Danio rerio: one gene and its partner. The protein of the gene in region 1 purifies or fractionates together with the protein of each later gene. This does not show direct contact. Links are inferred from orthologs where the notes say so. Each region holds a gene or a part of one and is shown in the gene's direction. Other genes may lie near its edges. The genes, in order: btk and ankrd54.

The links.
Region 2: the proteins of btk (region 1) and ankrd54 purify together in Homo sapiens (affinity purification with mass spectrometry; 4 studies listed by BioGRID and IntAct, counting the BioPlex papers as one, with this or other methods). This does not show direct contact. The link is inferred for Danio rerio from reciprocal best matches to the Homo sapiens genes BTK and ANKRD54.

The regions. Positions count from the first base shown.
Region 1 is NC_133189.1:43,502,959-43,506,790, reverse strand, and holds part of btk (tyrosine-protein kinase BTK), read left to right. Parts: intron 1-1,633; coding exon 1,634-1,698; intron 1,699-1,784; coding exon 1,785-1,972; intron 1,973-2,219; coding exon 2,220-2,282; intron 2,283-3,506; coding exon 3,507-3,561; intron 3,562-3,832. UniProt on the Homo sapiens protein: Non-receptor tyrosine kinase indispensable for B lymphocyte development, differentiation and signaling. Binding of antigen to the B-cell antigen receptor (BCR) triggers signaling that ultimately leads to B-cell activation.
Region 2 is NC_133178.1:24,770,825-24,774,756, forward strand, and holds the start of ankrd54 (ankyrin repeat domain-containing protein 54), read left to right. Parts: upstream 1-1,337; 5' UTR 1,338-1,494; coding exon 1,495-1,867; intron 1,868-2,730; coding exon 2,731-2,778; intron 2,779-2,884; coding exon 2,885-2,983; intron 2,984-3,193; coding exon 3,194-3,265; intron 3,266-3,347; coding exon 3,348-3,395; intron 3,396-3,932. UniProt on the Homo sapiens protein: Plays an important role in regulating intracellular signaling events associated with erythroid terminal differentiation.

The DNA.
Region 1 (3,832 bases):
GGCAGAATTGTTCAGTTCAGTTATTTAGCTACTACAAATAATATGATGTACTGTGTTCAGAAACAAATTTTAGTTTAAAATTTTTAACAGCAAAAGCATTTTGGTGACATGGTGGCGCAGTAGGTAGTGCTGTCGCCTCACAGCAAGAAGGTCGCTGGTTCAAGCCTCGGCTGGTTCAGTTGGCATTTCTGTGTGGAGTTTGCATGTTCTCTCCGTGTTCGCGTGGGTTTTCTTCAGGTACTCCAGTTTACACCACAAAACCAGTCCAACAGTTTAAAAACATGTGGTACAGGTGAATTGGGTAGGCTAAATTGTTTGTAGTGTATGAGTGTGTATGGTTGTTTCCCAGAGATGGGTTGCAGTTGGAAGGCCATCCACTGTGTAAAAACATATCCTGGATATGTTAGCGTCTGTGATGACCCCAGATTAATAAAGGGACTAAGCCCAAAAGAAAATGAATGAATGAACAGCAAAAATAAAAATCACGTGTAAAATACTATAGTAATTTATTGTAAAGGGAAATATTTAGGAATAACCCAGGTAGCAAAAAATTCTGGCCCAGATTTGCCATTTATCTGGCAAAGCAGGGATTCATCCGGCACTGGTATACAGCATGTGGGCCAAACATGGCCCTGGTTTGTCTGAGGTGGCAGCTTCTTTAAGGCTGCACACAATATTTGGGCCCGATGTAAAATGTAGTATTTGGCCCAGATGTTAATAATTGATGTAAGTTTGGCCTATCTTGACCCACATTTAAAAAATCTTTTTTATTATTTTCAAATTTTAAAAAACTAATTCTACCAATAAGGTCGCTTTGAGAAAAAGCATGCCTAAAGCGTAATGATTTATTAATGCGATCAATGATTAATTTCATTCCAGTCGTAAACACCAACATATCTGGCCCAGTTCAGGCTCAGTTATTGGTTATTAACTTGGCCCAGATATGGTCCATGTTTGGCTCTTGTCTGCCAGACTTGGTCCAGTCATTTACCATAATTTACTGCGGCATGTGGCCCAAGCAAAAGCTGATTGTGTTGAGATGGGCCAGAGATATTTTATAGTGGGAAGCATTATATTGTATATATATATATATTTACAACTCCTCATTAATGAATAACACAACATAATGTAGTATCATTAGTAACTTTCATGAGCTAAAAGTAATTACCATAGTATACTTTAGCATTTACTACAAGAAACCTAATTTGAGTACTTCACTATTGTGTGGTTCAAAAACATTATAGTATTTGCTATAACTTACTAAAGTAATTTTTGAGCACAGCATCACAATTAACGTTATTGCATCTTAACATGCACTTGCCTCAGAAATAACTTCTCTCCCTTAGTCAACTTTCCATCAAGAAAGTTTCTTTTATTAGCCTAATTGGTTGGTGATATCACCGACCAGAGCAAGAGGTGGCAGTAAGTGGATAAAAACCCATTTAAATTGTTATAAATGTGTTGAAATTATTTCATCATTGGCAATAAGATCCATTTAGACATGTATTCCCTAATTAAATGTTCAATATCAATTTCCATTTAATGCAATAAGGCAGCATTGCATGAGTATAATGTAATAGTGAATAGTTTAATGAATTAAACAGCATTAGTACATGTATTATCATTCCACCAGGGGTTTTCAAAAGAGGATCTAAGAACCGCGATTCCAGGAAGCCTCTTCCACCAACACCTGAGGAGGTCAGTTACTAATCCATCTAGCCAGAGACAATACACACCATCATATTTACCTTTGGGAACTGATCTGTGTTACTTTCCTGATTTAGGAAAAGCCAGCCCGGCCTTTGCCCCCCGAGCCGCCCATGCCTCCTGCCTTCAGCATAGGCATGACCGTTATAGCTGAATACGAATACGCACCAATGACTACCAATGACTTAGAGCTGAGAAAGGATGAGGAGTACACACTTTTGGAAATCTCTGATCCCAATTGGTTTAAAGCTAAAGATAAATACGGGTAAGAGACTGCATAATTTTAAAAAATATCACTAGTTTGGCAAAATCTATGAGTTGTAGACATCAATAATTGTGTAATAATGCTAATGAAAGGCTGTATTTGATAAAAATGTGGACTCTTGTCGAATTATTTGCATATCTGGGGAAACTTTTACAGGCTATTGATGTAAGGTAGTCTGGTGGAACTTGCTGTGCAATCAGGACTGGGTTTTTGTTGATATGAAAAGTGTTATTGATCTCCTTTACAGAAAGGAAGGCTACATACCGAGTAACTACATCGTTCAGGCTTTAAATGGATTGGAGAAATATGAGTAAGTACACAGTCGAAGTCAGTCAGATTTTTTCAACACATTTCTACTCATAACAATTTTAATAACTCATTTCTAATAACTGAACTTTTGTCTTTGCCATGATGATAGAACGTAATATTTTACTAGATATATTTCGAGGTAGTATTCAGCTTAAAGTACAGTTTAAAGGCTTGGTTAGTTAGATTAAATAGACAAGTTAGGATAATTGAGCAAGTCATTCTATAACAGTGGTTTGTTCTCTAGTACAGGGGTTCCCAAACTTTTCAGCCCGTGACTCCAAAAATAGCGATGCCAGTGACTCATGACCCCCTATATTCTCTGAGGTGGTTATAAGTATATAAACCTTGCACACAACGGTGCACACAATAGGCCCAAGTCTATTTTTCGTTTAGTTTTGGAGAACACCATTTGGAGATCATCCTCCATGTTCAGCTGTGGTCTGTATTTGTTTTTATTGTTCATGAGTGCCGTAAAGGAGTCAGAAAGTTTAACATGGTACCATAAAATTAATCCGCTGCATCAGATGCTACTGCTGTGTCTTTAATGTAACGTTATAACCCCTGGAGTCGCATAGAAAAATTGAAATACTCAAAATTGATGGCTTTTTATTTTCATGTTGTTTTTTAAAATGTAACGATTACCGACATTTTTTTCTTTTGTAGGTTATGGTAAAAACATGGTAACCCAACCACCCCCACCCCCCATTGTGGCAACCACTGCTGTAGACAATCAAAAAATAACAATAATGCTTAAAAGAGCTAATAATATTGACCTCAAATTGTTTTTTTCCAAATTAAAATTTGCTTTTTTTTTCCAGCCGAAATAAAACAAATAAGACTTTCTCCAGAAGAAAAAATATTATAGGAATTACTGTGAAAATTTCCTTGCTCGGTTGAACATCGTTTGGGAAATATTCATTCATTCATTTTCTTTTCGACTTAGTCCCTTTATTAATCTGGGGTCACCACAGCAGAATGAACCGCCAAATTATCCAGCATATGTTTTAAGCATAGACTGTTTTAAGCAGCGGATGCCCTTCTAGCTTCAACCCATTGCTGGGAAACATCCATACACACTCATTCACACTCATACACTACGGCCAATTTAGCCTAAAGAAAACAAAAATTGATAGGAGGGCTAATAATTATGACTTCAACTGTCCATTCAGCAACATTTTGAACCTTTCAAACTTTTTTAATCATGAATTTTCTCTCAATCTCACAGTTGGTACTGCAAGAACATCAACCGCAGTCAGGCAGAAAATTTACTAAAAACAGAAGTAAGTATGGAGCCGTGGTGGCACAATAACATGATTGGTTTATTAATGTGTCTGTAACTTTTACATTGTAATGATTATTTAAATGTGGGACAACCAGGAGAGTAATTTCTTCTGGAGACTTCAAAATCCCCCCTGTATTAGGCTTAGACAATCATATAGTTTGTTTTAATATTATTATTAACATATGAAGAGTTTAGATGCAAAAACCTATAAGTGCCGTCTGAAATGTCCATCAAAAATGAGCATTTTTGTCAGCCTCCTTTGTTTATGT
Region 2 (3,932 bases), on another chromosome or scaffold:
GAGATAATGAAGGCCCTTAAAAAGGTATTACAAAGTCTTAATCAAATTTTTATGAGGTCTTGAATTTAGTTCAAGCATTGTCCAAAGTGTTTTACTCCAAAAAAGCATAAATATATTAATTTTAATATTAACAGTGGCATGCTTGACCCATGTGATTGGTTCAGGCCAGGGTGCATCTGGCCAAGCTCCGATGTCATGGGGTGATGTCATGTAATTTGCGACAAATGCGGGAAGGTGATGTGACGCTCTCCACATGTAGCGAAACAGGCGGCTAAATGGTCAAATGAAAGTTTGCGTACCACTGGATGGAGAAAGACGAGTTTCTTTTAAGCTCTGTTTCTTCCGAGCTTATCTGAGTTCTATTGCTTGGTTGTGCTCCATTGATTTATTTAACTAAAACTGTTTATTAAGTTAAAAGTTTTATACTGAAGAGAGCTTGAAGTAGCGATGAGGTCTTAAAATATTCTGAGAAGGTCTTTAAAAAGTCTTAAAAAGGTTTTAAAATGACCTTTAGGATTCCTGCATATACCGTGAATAAAACCCATTTACTAATGCAGATAATAGTAAACATTGCTCTGATTCAGAAACATTGTATTTTTTTACAGTATTGCCCTTTTCTTGCTATTGAAAAGACTGGGATATTGGATCGAGTTTTTAATGTAAGATGCGGTTTTTCATAATATTATTGAAAAACTATCATAGAAAAAACAATACTGTTGTTTATAGCAAATAAAAAAAAAACTATTTTAAAATTTTTTCTTTAACAATGAAGAAAAATACAACTAAAAACAGAGAAAAAGAAAGAGTATATTCAAATGTTGAAAAAGCAAAAAAATTAAACTAATTAAAAGAACCGCAGACAGATTTAGAGTCTTTTGGTTATGAGACCATTGGATCAATAAAAAGTGTTGTTTAAATTTGTACAGAAAATAACATAGACATAGGTCTGGAGTTTGAAAATGTTGACTTATAAATGTGAAATTTAGCAAGCAGCAAAACTAAGTTCACTACATACAACTGCTTACTTTTAGGTTGTTCATACTGAACATACCCCAACATCTTTCCGTCACATCACGTTTTATGTATCTTATGTACGTATTTATTACGCTTCCACCACATGTGCTCTGATTGGACGAGCGCTTCAACAACATCCATGTTGATTGGCCCTTTAGGTAGCAATAATTTCAGACTAAGCAATGCGGACGTGTCTTACTGAACATCCGCGCAAAACAGTGAAACAGCGCCATTTTGGCTCAATGTTCACAGTTCACTTCAACACGGAACGGTTCAAATTAAACATCCCAACATTAAATCGCGATGCACGGAAAAAGAGTCTTGTTCATTTATTTAAAATCTTCGCTATAAACCCAGTGCTGAAGAGTAGCGCCAGTGTGACCATGCGGGCTTAGGTTTGTGTAACAGATTCAGTATTTACATTCTGCTGGAACTGACATTTACATGCTGACATCAGTGCAGTGAACGCCTTTTATTGATATGGACGGCTCGAGTCCGCTTTTAGCCGCTGCTGGTTCAGACGGTGACCGCTCCAGCTCGGAGGGCGAATACACGCTGGCCGGCGGACCCTCTGCGGGAGACACCGAGAAGCGGGAGGGCGAGTCGCCGATGGAAGCTGCCGGTGCAGGCACGGTGGGCTTCAGTATCTCCCGGCTGGACACCCTGAGCGCGCTGAGGCTCAACCGGACGCGACCGGCCGCGGACACCGAGCTCCGGTACCTGCACCTTTTATGGAAGCCCGGTGAGCTGCTACAGGCGGGACGGAGCACACCAGGAAAAATCACATCGAGCAGGGTGAGGCGGCTGGCAAGAGCCCGGAGGAACATGGGGCCCATTGGAAAAGACCTGCATGGTGTGTGTACACGAGCAGAAGATACACACTACAAATAATTCTGTAATCATGTACATCAAAGACTGCATGTAATTATAATTCATGGATGCTTATAAATGAAAATTTTAGAAACCCACAAATTTATTTCTAACTAAAAGACATAAAAACAACCTGAATATTATTATATATCAAATTAAATACATTTATTTTCTTAAACTTTAACTTACTTTCAGGTGAAAATTTGAATTATTTTTTTCAGTCTGCAGTGGTGAATAGGCGTTAATTTATCAGCCATATAGGCAACAGGCTTTGTTACAAATGTTTTGTTTGGCTCTAATATAGCTATAGATAATTTCAGGTTTTGTATAAGTTCTCCATACAAACCCAGATCCAAAATTATACAAATGCATACATATTTTAGAAATTGTCAAGTCAAAAAAGAAATAAGAACAAAAATGTGGATTTGCAATGCTTTTCCTACACTAATATTAGGCTTTTATACACTGCTCAAGTAAATAAACCAAAATGAAATGTTAGTCTTTATCTTGTACGAACTAAAATAAACTTTATTTCTTTGTACTATATGTTTATACTATATAAACATCATATATAACCTTAAACATTAAGTGCTGAAATGCAAAACTGTAAATTCGTCCTTTAGTGATGAACAATAATACACTAATTAAAGAATAGTTTTCATAGTTAATTAAAATCTAGCATTCAACCAACCATGTTTAGTGAAAGGAGTAGCATAAGATTGAGAAAATGTAGCAGTTAAATCCTCAGTTGTATGATTTCGCATCAGTATGTCAAACTAGTCACTATGTTGCTATTATTATCATCCATGACCCATATTTTTTAACCAACCACATGTCCTGTTTTAGCTGTGAAGAGGCTCAGAGAAGCTGCCAATTCAAATGATATAGATACAGGTGAGAATAACCAGCAGCATGACTCTGAAAGTTATACTATATGGTAAGATTTGATCTACAGTTAAATAATAATGTGTTCACTTTTGAAAAATGTAACCCCTTCTAGTGAGACGATTGCTGGAAGATGATACTGATCCTTGTGCTGCTGATGACAAAGGCAGGACAGCCTTACACTTCTCTTCCTGCAATGGCAATGAGACTATCGGTAAGTGCGAACTAAACTGTTTGCATTACATACTTTACATTTTTATTGCATACATATCAGTGCATTGCATAGTATCAAACCGTAGTGTTTTATTGACTAAAACCAAAAAGATTGTTAGGGTTTTAAATGATGAAAGATTGATTTGATAAATTATAAAGTATACATGCTTTTCCATTTTTACTCTCTCAATCTCCACTTGTAATTAATCAGTCCAGTTGCTGTTGAGTTATGGTGCTGACCCAAACCAGAGAGACAGCCTTGGGAACACACCATTGCATCTGGGTAAGAATTGTATATTCAGCAAATATTTTTAGACATATTTATTTGCATCTTTGTGTGTCATTATTGCATTATGATTTTACAGCTGCCTGCACCAACCACGTGCCTGTGATCACAACCTTACTGCGAGGAGGTAAGTTCGAAACCAGTCTTAAGGTTATATTTGTGACAATGACTAAAAATGCATTTTATGGGACAAAATTGTCTATATATAATAATAATATAGTATCAAAGTCATTAAAATATTAAGGTAAATTCATCTTGTACAAAAAAACTGTGTAAACTTCAGTCTGTAAAATGTATCAAACTTAATTTTGATAAGTGTTATGCATTACTAAGCACTTCTTTTGGGCAACTTTAAAATATTATTTTCTCAGTTTTTTTTACCCTCAGATCAATTTTTTTTATTAATAGTTGTATTTCTGCCCAATATCCTCCTATCACAGTAAATTGTCCTCCAACTAGAAAGTTTATTTATTCAGCTTTCAGATGTTGTATAAATTTCAATTTCCAAAAATTGACCTTTATGACCAATGACAAGCAGTGGATCTAAGATTTTTCATATATTTTTTCAAGGGGTTGTTCACATTTAGGATGAATATTTCTTGATAATCAACTCGCCATTGTCTTTCAAGATATTTCTTTCTTTTCATTGGTCAAAAAAAAAGAA